2 linked regions of the Arabidopsis thaliana genome follow. The protein of the gene in region 1 interacts with the protein of each later gene in a pairwise test. Each region holds a gene or a part of one and is shown on either strand. Other genes may lie near its edges.

Evidence for each region.
Region 2: the proteins of CNGC5 (region 1) and DWF1 interact in a protein complementation assay, tested with the Arabidopsis thaliana proteins (one large-scale study listed by BioGRID).

Annotation. Positions count from the first base shown.
Region 1 is NC_003076.8:23,454,873-23,461,144, reverse strand, and holds CNGC5 (cyclic nucleotide gated channel 5), read right to left. Parts: upstream 4,581-6,272; 5' UTR 4,479-4,580; exon of another isoform or gene 4,248-4,478; intron 4,130-4,247; 5' UTR 4,030-4,129; coding exon 4,001-4,029; intron 3,822-4,000; coding exon 3,239-3,821; intron 3,078-3,238; coding exon 2,865-3,077; intron 2,474-2,864; coding exon 2,163-2,473; intron 2,023-2,162; coding exon 1,911-2,022; intron 1,773-1,910; coding exon 1,536-1,772; intron 1,375-1,535; coding exon 706-1,374; 3' UTR 524-705; downstream 1-523. Other genes in the region: AT5G57950 (26S proteasome regulatory subunit), read right to left, coding at 94-154, 240-467; APO2 (APO RNA-binding protein (DUF794)), read right to left, coding at 4,791-5,622, 5,708-6,060, 6,207-6,272. UniProt on the Arabidopsis thaliana protein: Probable cyclic nucleotide-gated ion channel.
Region 2 is NC_003074.8:6,879,013-6,884,222, reverse strand, and holds DWF1 (cell elongation protein / DWARF1 / DIMINUTO (DIM)), read left to right. Parts: upstream 1-1,907; 5' UTR 1,908-2,011; exon of another isoform or gene 2,012-2,594; 5' UTR 2,595-2,606; coding exon 2,607-3,848; intron 3,849-3,944; coding exon 3,945-4,388; 3' UTR 4,389-4,699; downstream 4,700-5,210. UniProt on the Arabidopsis thaliana protein: Plays a critical role in the general process of plant cell elongation. Involved in the synthesis of campesterol, an early precursor of brassinolide.

The DNA of each region.
Region 1 (6,272 bases):
TGATTCTGCTATGTTTCCTAAGTTTAAACTAACCTTGGAGTTGTAGTCTCACCCTAACTATGGACTAATTCAGCACAAGAAAAGAGAAATCACCAGCAAGACGACGGCGCTCAGTTCTCACCATGGGAATGTCAATATCTTCCCGAGGAAATCCCTGCCATAAGCAAACGAATCAAAGGAGAAAATTAAGCAGAATTTTCGGTTAAGATTAGAGAAGAGTGAGGACGCAGATACAGTACCTCCGAGTCGATGAGATTGCCGGAGAGACCAGGACCACCGGGATTGCAGAGACGTTCGACAATAGAGTTCATCTCCGTCTCCATGGCTGTTCTCTTGTCCATTAGAGCCATCGTCTCCGCTTTCAGATTCGCGCCAACCATCTTCTCTTCTCTTCTCCAAGTCCGATCGATTCTTAATTCTTTCACCGAAATCAATCGCAACTTCTCTCTACCTTGGGACCGGAGCATGTCACCGTGAATATATTGTGGGCTTCATTAAAAGGCCCAATAGACCCATTCTTTAACCGGCATATGATCCTAACCGTACATTTATTAAATCCAACGGCTATAATCTCTTTGTTTCTACACTTCATATATTAATTTTACAGACAGCACAAGCAGCTTTAAAGCCAAGCAATATTTGTTTATCTCAACCGTAATGATTCCCATAAATTATAAACAATAATGTCTACAAGCTGCTCAATCATCAGTCAGCAGTGAAATCAGGCTCAGGAGGCTTCTGCAGCTTCACCAAATCCCTAATCTTTGTGTTCCGGTTCCTGTGAATGGTGCGAAGCGCATTAGCCGCAAACTTAGTGGCAAGAAATGCAGCCCCAATGGAGTATGAAGGTCCAGCGGTTGAGCTGGACACAGCCGCGGCCTCGGCTTCTGCCTCTTCCATTTTCTTCCTCTTGCAGTATCTACGCCAGGCAGCCTGGATGAAACAAGCAGCCCAAGTCCTCCATTGGTGAGAGTAAAACCTGAATGTGTGCTGCACTTGCCTGCTATGTAAGCGCCGGAACTGGCTTGCTACAAACTTCAGCTCCTCTGAGGTCAGCGCAAACGCCTCTACTTCTGTCAGAGCTTTCACGGTCCTCGTGGAAGACGGGAGATTTACACCTGATTTTGGATCCAATGCCCATGTCAGAAGCTCTTCCCCGCAGAATTCTCCTTCTTTCAGGAGACTGCGGTTGAAGAAACCGCTCCTGCCTCCATCTGTTGTCACACTCTCGAGGCGACCACGTATTATGAATAGCATCTCGTCTACAGGATCTCCTTCCCGCACTAAGTAGGTACTCTCTGTGAACAAGCATGGTTTCAGCCGCATACAGATCGCATCCAGCAGCTTGTCGTCCATGCTCTTAAACAATGGAACCTAATATTATGGTAAAAACGTATCATGAACCAAGCTAGCTTGTCGATGGTCAAGAGCTCGTTTTAGTTATGAGCCGACTGTTATTCAATGGGTCCTAGATGTTCAAAAGGGTGTGTGATCTATGTGAGAAGCTTGAATAAGGAACAGCGGGGAGAACTTACCCTTCGCACTAAAGCCAGACAGAGATGCCGCTTGATGTCTCTCCGGAGATCCTTGGGAAGATTCTGAACGAGATACTCTTCATCTACACCACGTGTCTCCAACCATTTATACTGGTCATAGCGCCTCACACGCTCCCTAAGATCTTGTGGTAACATTCTGTGATGCATCCATTGTTCTGAATCACGCCTCTTTACTCTCATTTCTTCAAGCCGGATGGTAAGAGATTGGAGATATGTCTGTCCCAAGATTGCAAAATGTTGTTAGATAGTCATTATGCAGAGGAAACAAATTATGCATGATGCTTCCATTGAAAGAGCTTACAAGAAATTTCTAATGATCACGAAAGTAGCTAAGGTTGCACCATAATTACTCACCTGCATGTTTCCAATGAGAAGAGCAAAGAGGATCAACCCAGAAATGGCGAGAGATATGGAAAATATAATCTCCATTGGGTATGTACTGGTTTCAAGCCCTTGTCCAAGTGTACTGTGGTGCAACAATGAGAAGTACTATATGAATATCTGAAACTCATAGACGCATAACTTTGATAAAGGAGCCGAGTTTAGTGAGAATTGGTAAGATCAAAGCAATAGTCTTTCGACTGAATAGTGATAGAACATGGTTACCTCAAGTTCTGAAGGCCCCACCACAAACAATAACAATATTTTACGATGAAGTTTTGGGACGAGACAATTCCAGACGATAAAGCCTGTGTATAAATCCCAAAGTCAAATGGAGGATTATTATCATCGAGGTCAGCTCGGCACTTGGACTTAAGAACAGATTCCTTGGCTCTGTTCCAAACAGCATAGCCGTCCATGTTTTGATTGCCACAGTACAAGAAATCTGTGCTGCAATTCCCTGCATCTATACAGGCCTCCTGCCAGCAGGCGTCGTTACGTTCTAAGGCTAAAAGGTACCAAAAAGCTCCAACTATCTGCAAGATACGAAACAGTGGCTCAATCAAAATAGCACTTACCAAGTCAATACTATTATTGAAGAGTAAATAAGCTATACAATCAGAGTTGCTCGTCATAAGAAACTTGACATTTGTGATCCCATGAGGCATGAACATCAACTAAGATAAAACGAAAGGTTGCATAGAACATCAAAGGTAAGCATAGACGGCTTAACCAGAAAGCTCAATAAGCTCCTTTACATGTCTTAGGAAACTAAACATTTGAACATAAGTTCATAACAGTGAAACGGATATGCAAATATTTCCTTGTTTTGCACTTTTGGTGCCACAGTCACATAACTCATGGTGAATGGGCAAGCATTGAATAGTACAAGCAACGTCTTAAAATGAAAAAGGTATATAAACTCACATGACTTGCAAGCATATATAAAAGCAGATAATAAGCGGCACCAGCCCAAGCCGTTTCAGCAAAGACACCTGCTGTCCTTTTCAATTCTGACGTCAAGGGTAAGACACGTAGGAATCGCGGTATATACTGGACCAAAACAATGAAAAGCAAGGCCTGCTTTGTAGCCAATACATCCGACCCATTTGAACTTTGCAAGAACCTCCAAACTACAATCTGCACATACACAAAATGAGTACTGTAAATCTAGAACTAGAAAGCGCTTGACAGAGATGTCTGATCACCAACTACTGGCTACTGCACCCTTTCAACAAATTAAGCAATGATGTTTTCCAACACACAATTTACTGAAATGATCAAAACTTATATTAACCAACCTGAGGGAGAGGAAGTACTGAGAGAAAGTCAATAATAAACCAACGTTGTAGATATCTCTTTGCTATCTGTGCAGGATCAATCACGAGTTCACCTCGCCCAAAGACCCGTGATGAAGGTGCAATATAAGCAGTCCTAAGCTGGAGAGCCATGTGAGCGAGATAAAACACATCGATAAAAGTCCGCAATGTACTTGCTGTGATAGCCAGTTTTCTGTCAATACCCAGGCACTTGGACTCAGCATTAATCACAGGAAGATAGAAGAAAAAAGGGTCCACAAACACTGAAAGAATACATGACGCAACGAATAATTTATTGCAATACAAAAGGAATTTATCCTGAGGATCAAATATCTTCTTTTCAGATACTTTAAGGTCTTCTGGGAACACTGCTCGATAAACACCGAAACCAAGTGAACGTCCGATCGACTTAAGCCCTTTGGAACCCTTCTGGATACCTTTCTTGAAGGATCTAGAAGTTTCATTGCTTGCATGAATAGGATGAAGTTGTCCACTGAAATTGGAGGCGTAGTTCTGTTGGAAGGCTACAGATGATGATGGTAACCTAGAGTCCAAATCATCCACCCTATAAAAGGTATGAACAACACCACTTTCAGATTACTATGCACCAACAAGCTATAGTTCAGTACAATCACACTATACTTTCATAAGGAAACAAATCAGAAACAACCATTGCCAAATCAATACGTTTCTCACATTCAAACTTCAGATCTTTGTATTAAAACAAAAGGATGCAGCACTAACCTCACAAAGTTTTCTCTTTTCCCTGCCATGATTGCTTACAAGGAATTCAGAACTCAAGAGCCTTCCAAGATCACTTGCTCAAATCGATGAAGAAAGAGCACAGCTTTAAGACTCTAATCATTAAGCAAGCTGCATCATCCCAAAATAAGACTAAAATACTTAACCTTTGAAAGACCCAAGTAAAAATAAGTCATAACCATATGAAGTTGTCAAGTTGTGCTAAAATGAAGATTAGACTAACTCTGACCAGTATGAAGCGAAGCAACATCATTACATCAACTCAAATGGATAAAAAAGGAAAAAATTTGATGAATGATGGACACCGACACATAGTAACAAATTTAAAGAGGTAGAGCTAGAGAACCAATCTTAAATTTCTCGCATAGAAAAAAGGAGAATTGAATCTTAGAACAAAATTAGAAATAGAGCAGACGTGAACTTGCTGAAGCAAGAGAAAGAGACAAAGACAAAGGCTTACATGGCTACACGGTTTCAAGGGTCCCGTTGATGAGGATAACCAGAGGAACAACTACGAACATGAAAAAGATGAAAGTGGGTATAAAGCTACCAGACAAGTGGTATCGACTTGACACAGACAAAAAAAAGAAAATGGCAACGAGAAAAGATGAAAACGAAGCAAATGACATTTTTACCCTTGATAATAGGATTAGCGTGGATTGTTTTTTTTGTCCTTCAAAAGTCAAAAAGACCTGGGCTGTGATATTATTATACAACACAAGGTGGAATGGAGGATTTTGTACAAGAAGAAGTTTACAAGGTCTTCTACATATCAAACAACCATCTCAGCTTCTTTCACACTCGAAGGAATTCCAACCTCCAGTCTCATTGTAGCTCTATAATGCTCAGGTACAACAGCGCCAGCCTGAGCACATATCTCCACAACAGCAGGTGCTTGCCCGTAGAAGCTTCGTAGCTCTCGCTGCATCGGTGGCCCATTCACATCAGGAACATGCCAAACATATCTTGGCGGTATCAAGTCGTCAAGTACTGCAGATTGCCAACCATGCTGGCCATTCCGCTGTTGGTGCTTGAATGCACCACAGTTCTGGGCCTTGTGTCCCGTTGGACCTACGTGAACCTCTGGACAGTACCCACAGACCCTAACCCTGTACATCCTCATCAGCTTTTTGGCTCCTGCTCTCATTTCTTCCCAGGCCTGTAATGTTTCTTCGGCTAAGGAGACTGTTTCTTCTTCGCTAGATGGGGGAGTGATCTCTGAGACAGGTAACTCAGTTAACAATGGCACTGGAGGAGGCTGAGGCTCTGGATCAGGCAATTCAGTTTCATCTGCATCAACAAACTCGCTTTTGCCAATGCGGATAATCGGTTTTCTTCTCCTTTTTGCTGGAAATTCGGGTATTTCAACGCCGCCCTGAATGCAGAGCTCAACTACAGCAGGAACTCGGGGAATCGAGAATCTTTCATCATGACGGATACGCTTGCCAAGGCGGTCAAAAAGGTGATAGGCTTCAAGAGGAACAATAACGTCCTCAATAACCGAGTTAGTCCATTCATGAAGACCTTTCCTTTGGGAAGTATTGGGACCTTTACACGACTTAAATGGATGCCCATAAGGTCCAACATGAATCTCATTGCACCACCTAAGAGACCAATCATACAACATCAAAAAAAGGCCATACTCAAAACAGACCAAAAATGAAACAAGAAGAAGAAGAGAATTTTTACCCACAAGCATTAACACGAACAACTTTCATAAGCCGGTGGAGATTGTTGATCAATCTGATTCTTGCATTGTATACTTTATAAGCAAGAGGCACAAGGCTCTTCACAACCATACCATTTTTAGGCGGAGGTAGAGGTCTCTTAGGTTTGTCTTTGTTGTTCTTGACTCTCTCCCTCGCAGCTCGTCTCAGGTCCACAATAGGGACTGGGAAAGGTTTCTTCTCTCGCCTTGTGTACTGCTTAGGTAAGTCTTCATTCTGAGGACGATCATTTCTCACAACTAATGGCAGAGATCGACGCTCTTTACTAAGCACAACTCTTGAATTCAACTGAAGGCTAAACTCAATGCTACTTCCCTGCACAACATATCCGCACATAACAGTAAACATTGACTCTCTACTTCAAAGGGAAGCAACGAAGTGTGGTCTAATTCTAAGAACCAAAACAACAACGAAGCAGAGTCTGGAGAATTGGATGATACTGACTAGTAAAGGAATCTGACCTGAAGAGAAGGAGAGAACCCAAATCTATAAAACGTGTTGGGATTAAGAAATTGCCTCCTGGTTAC
Region 2 (5,210 bases), on another chromosome or scaffold:
TAACAAATCATAATTTATGTGGGTTGTTGTCTCTGGCTTCTTCACACTTTTTTAGGTACTAATGGAATGGACAAAGACGGTTTTTGTTGATGCAGAAATGACGCATGGGTTTATTTGGCGTTGGACCAAAGAGTAATGTCTTTGTATTTGGATATATATATAAACAAATTGGTGTTTCTTGTAATGTAAACATTGGTGTGATTACACGACCTTGTAACGGTTTAAAACTTTGTCAAGCGTCAACCAAATTTTCACTGACGTCAAACTGTCAATGTCAAAAGGTGTGATTCGCCAAATAGACATTTATTTTTCCATACTACAAAAAAATGATTTGTAGCTGTAAATGTGAGTAAGAAATTAGTTGGCATATTTTAAAGAGTAAATATATTTTATGAGAGATTTTGCAAGAGCTGGATATTTTCTCAGACAGGCCATCATCCCTGTAATTTTTTTTTTCTTTCTATGTCAAATAAATAAATAATTACTTTTTGGCGACAAAAAAAACTTTTTGAGCACTTCATTACTTTAAAGTGTAACCATTTTTCTAAATAAATCATGATTTTATTTGCTTTTCTAAATCAACTATTAAAATACTTAGGTGGAAATCAAATAATTGGTTACAGTAACAGAATTATATATTGAGAGCCTTTTTCACCAAATAACGTGATAGTTTGTGTGTTTATTACTGTATTATGTAGGCACTGATAATGATACAAATGATTTCATATATGAATTTTGATGAAAAGCATGGCTATTGGGATTTGGGAAAACATTTCTCATCACAGCCGTAGTTTTTTTTTTTATATAAATAAGAGGCATTTTATATAAAATTTTTTACTACACATTAGTTTCTAAAATACTACATTGTAATCTGAATAAGATGAAAGTGAATGACTAATTCACAATTGTTTTGGCTTAAAAAAAACACTCATTTGAAGATCCCTTAAGAGTTGAGAGAAAGATATAAGGAACTCTCATTAGCATTCATAATGTATAATGTTTTCAAGATATTTTAGGCAGTGCTTTTTTTGCTTCAATCATAACATATCAAAACTAAATGTTAAAGATTGTTGTAATAACTATTATGATAAGAAAAGTTGTAATGAACTTTTTGCCAATAAACAATATATAAGATCGTCGGCTTAGTAACCTCACGAGGATGGAATGTGCTTTAGGTACATCAACAAACATGTAGGAGGACTGTTTCGCTAAAAGCATTTAGAAAACAAAAATCAATACAATCAACCCATAAAATGCATTTAAAAAAAAAACGAATTGGACAATTACATTTCCTTCATTGGGCACATGTCTTCCTGTAATTTATTGTGATTTACATACCAAAAGAAAGATATATTTTTCTATTTAAAAGAAATTTAAACTGCTAAGATTTGTTGCCTTTTTTTATTTATTTGCTTTTACCTATTTATAGCAGTAAACTCTTTTCAGAAAAAATATCCCTACAAAGAATTTGTCCTCATATTCCTTTTATATGCTAACTGCTAAGTAAGAAATTATATTTTGGAAGATATGTCTAATTAAGCTCTAGGTTCGATTTACATATAATTTCTAAATGTTAAAAGAGTTGGTAAAAATATATTAAATACTGATATAAGTAAAAACAATTTATTTTTATTTTCTTACATCAGAATTATAAACTAAAAAATTGCTCATAAATATAACACATGTGATTTATCAACATTACAACTAACATCGAATTTTTAATTGCGATAACAACAAAGAAACTTAGAAATATGAAAAACCACTTATACAAACCCATGAAAAATATACATTATATATTTCTTAATTTCTATATTTTTGCGTTATTATTACCTTTTTTATTTTAAAATTATATAAAAAAATGGGAAATAAAAAATACCTTGTTTTGAGCGAAAAATGCAAGTGAAGCAGGCTGGCTTGAATCACGTTTTATTATAAAGACAAATGCTCTCACACTCTTGGGGACACTTTCACATCTCATCCTCTCACTCTCTCTCTCCTTTGGATTCTTCAGGTACTCTCTCTACCTCTCTTTCTCTCTCTGTCTCAGTCGCTGACTTATCATTTCCTGTCGTTAGATCTCTCAGTACTTGGTTCATAGTTGTTTCATAGCACGCACTAGTGAACTATGTGGGTTTTTTAATTTTAATCATCTCAGTCTTGGAGAATTTCAAACAAAGTTTCAAACTTTGCTCACCAACTTTTATTTATTTATTTTGGTGGTAGAAAACAGACTTTGATGGCTTTGTAGGAATACTAGATGTGTAGATCTAAAGATTATAACCATTTTCTGTGTTCTTGTTCTTTCAGAACATAACTTCATGTCTTTTTGTCTCTCTGTTCACTAGCTCTCTGTTTCCATGGACTCCACACTATCTTCTTCTTACAGATTTATTTCATACACATACACTGATACACATGTGTGTATACGTATGTGTTTATGTGTGCTTATTATACTCTTTTTGGATTCAAGAAACTAATCTTTAGTATTTTTGACATTCTGGTAGATTTATGCTCACTTCTTAGGCCTTGTTGACTTTTACAGTGATGGATTTTGAAACTCTGGTTGATTTGATTTTCTTTTTGGTTTGATGCAGTGAGGAGAGGAAATGTCGGATCTTCAGACACCGCTTGTGAGGCCCAAGAGGAAGAAGACTTGGGTTGATTACTTTGTCAAGTTCAGATGGATCATTGTCATCTTCATCGTCCTTCCATTCTCAGCCACATTCTACTTCCTCATCTACCTCGGGGACATGTGGTCAGAGTCCAAGTCCTTTGAGAAACGTCAGAAGGAACACGACGAGAATGTCAAGAAAGTCATCAAAAGGCTTAAGGGTAGGGATGCTTCCAAGGACGGGCTTGTCTGCACTGCTCGTAAGCCCTGGATCGCTGTTGGAATGAGGAACGTTGACTACAAGAGAGCCCGGCATTTCGAGGTTGACTTGGGGGAGTTCCGTAACATCCTTGAGATCAACAAGGAGAAGATGACTGCTAGAGTGGAGCCTCTTGTTAACATGGGACAGATTTCCCGTGCTACCGTCCCAATGAACCTGTCTCTCGCTGTTGTTGCTGAGCTTGATGACCTTACCGTTGGTGGACTTATCAATGGATATGGTATTGAAGGAAGCTCTCACATCTACGGTTTGTTTGCTGATACCGTTGAGGCTTACGAGATTGTTCTTGCGGGTGGAGAGCTTGTCCGCGCCACAAGGGATAATGAGTATTCTGATCTTTACTACGCAATCCCGTGGTCGCAAGGAACTCTTGGACTCCTTGTAGCTGCTGAGATCAGGCTTATTAAAGTCAAGGAGTACATGAGACTCACTTACATACCAGTCAAGGGTGATCTTCAAGCCTTAGCTCAAGGTTACATTGATTCTTTTGCTCCCAAAGACGGTGACAAGTCGAAAATCCCGGATTTCGTCGAAGGCATGGTTTACAATCCAACGGAAGGAGTGATGATGGTTGGAACATATGCATCTAAAGAAGAGGCAAAGAAGAAAGGGAACAAAATCAACAATGTGGGATGGTGGTTCAAGCCGTGGTTCTACCAGCACGCGCAGACCGCCCTGAAAAAGGGACAGTTTGTTGAGTACATCCCAACTCGTGAATACTACCACAGGCACACAAGGTGCTTGTACTGGGAAGGGAAGCTTATTCTTCCATTTGGTGATCAGTTCTGGTTTAGGTACCTCTTAGGTTGGTTGATGCCTCCAAAGGTCTCTCTTCTTAAGGCCACTCAAGGTGAAGCTATCAGGAACTATTACCATGATATGCATGTTATTCAGGATATGCTTGTTCCTCTTTACAAGGTTGGCGATGCACTCGAATGGGTCCACCGCGAAATGGAGGTAAAACTAAAAGCTCGGTTTCATGATTGATCATCTTCTAGTTAAAGTTTCTTTTGATGTTATTAACAAAATCATGAATTGTTTGTTCTCTTTCAGGTGTATCCAATTTGGCTTTGCCCACACAAACTCTTCAAGCAGCCAATCAAAGGCCAAATCTACCCAGAGCCAGGCTTCGAGTACGAAAACAGACAAGGAGACACAGAAGATGCACAGATGTACACTGATGTTGGAGTCTACTACGCACCTGGCTGTGTCCTAAGAGGTGAAGAGTTTGATGGATCAGAAGCAGTGCGTAGGATGGAGAAATGGCTGATAGAGAACCATGGATTCCAGCCTCAGTACGCGGTGTCTGAGCTCGACGAGAAGAGCTTCTGGAGAATGTTTAATGGTGAATTGTATGAGGAGTGCCGCAAGAAGTATAGAGCTATTGGAACGTTCATGAGTGTTTACTACAAGTCCAAGAAAGGAAGGAAGACTGAGAAAGAAGTTAGAGAAGCCGAACAAGCTCATCTCGAAACTGCTTATGCCGAGGCAGATTAAGTAATAATAAGCCTTGGTTTGATGTAATGGCTCGGGATGATTATTGTTATTCCTAGTAGTGTCTGTTATGTTGTTGTTTCCTAATTTCAGTTTTAGTGTCTTGAAGACTCTTGTTGTTGTTGTTTGCTTCTTGTTGTTGTTTGACTCATTCTGGTTTGAGTGGATTTTAGAGTTTAAAACTTTTGGATTTGCCTATGAAATTGAAGGTTTCCGGTTTTATCGTGTTGCTTGACTGTCACAATGTAAGCATGTTGCTGTAATGAATTAATTGATCTACCAATTTGAGAGATCATTTCAACTTCTCTCTTTATACCACCACCAACTAGGCTTTAGATCATTCACGACGTGAATCTAAAACACTAAAACCCGACTTTGTTAGTTTTATTGGGGTGCGGTTAGGTTTGATATAAACCTGGAAATACCGGTATTTGAACCGAAGTTGACCGGGTGAGACTTTTTAGGATAAACCCAAGCAGCCATTTCCGAGTAAGAAGAGCTCTGTTTCTGAAAGAAGTTTTACAGAGTCGATCGTCTAAAGCGTTGTTGAAGCACTTGTTAGTGGTAAGTAATTTCGATTTATTAATTCTTGTTGTATCTTTTGTATTCGAAGTTACTTGCTTGTTTTTCGATTTCGTCTCCGTCATGATGTTTGCGGCTCTGTTAATTGGAAGTGGAAAGGTCTGTCCTTTATCTACATAAAATGGTGCATAGAAGGTGTTCGACCAAATTCCTAGCTCAAATTCCTTTAGTTACATTAGCTCTGACTGGAATGTAACTGTGAAGTCTCGATACCCAATTCATTCTTTTCAAAAACAATTGAAG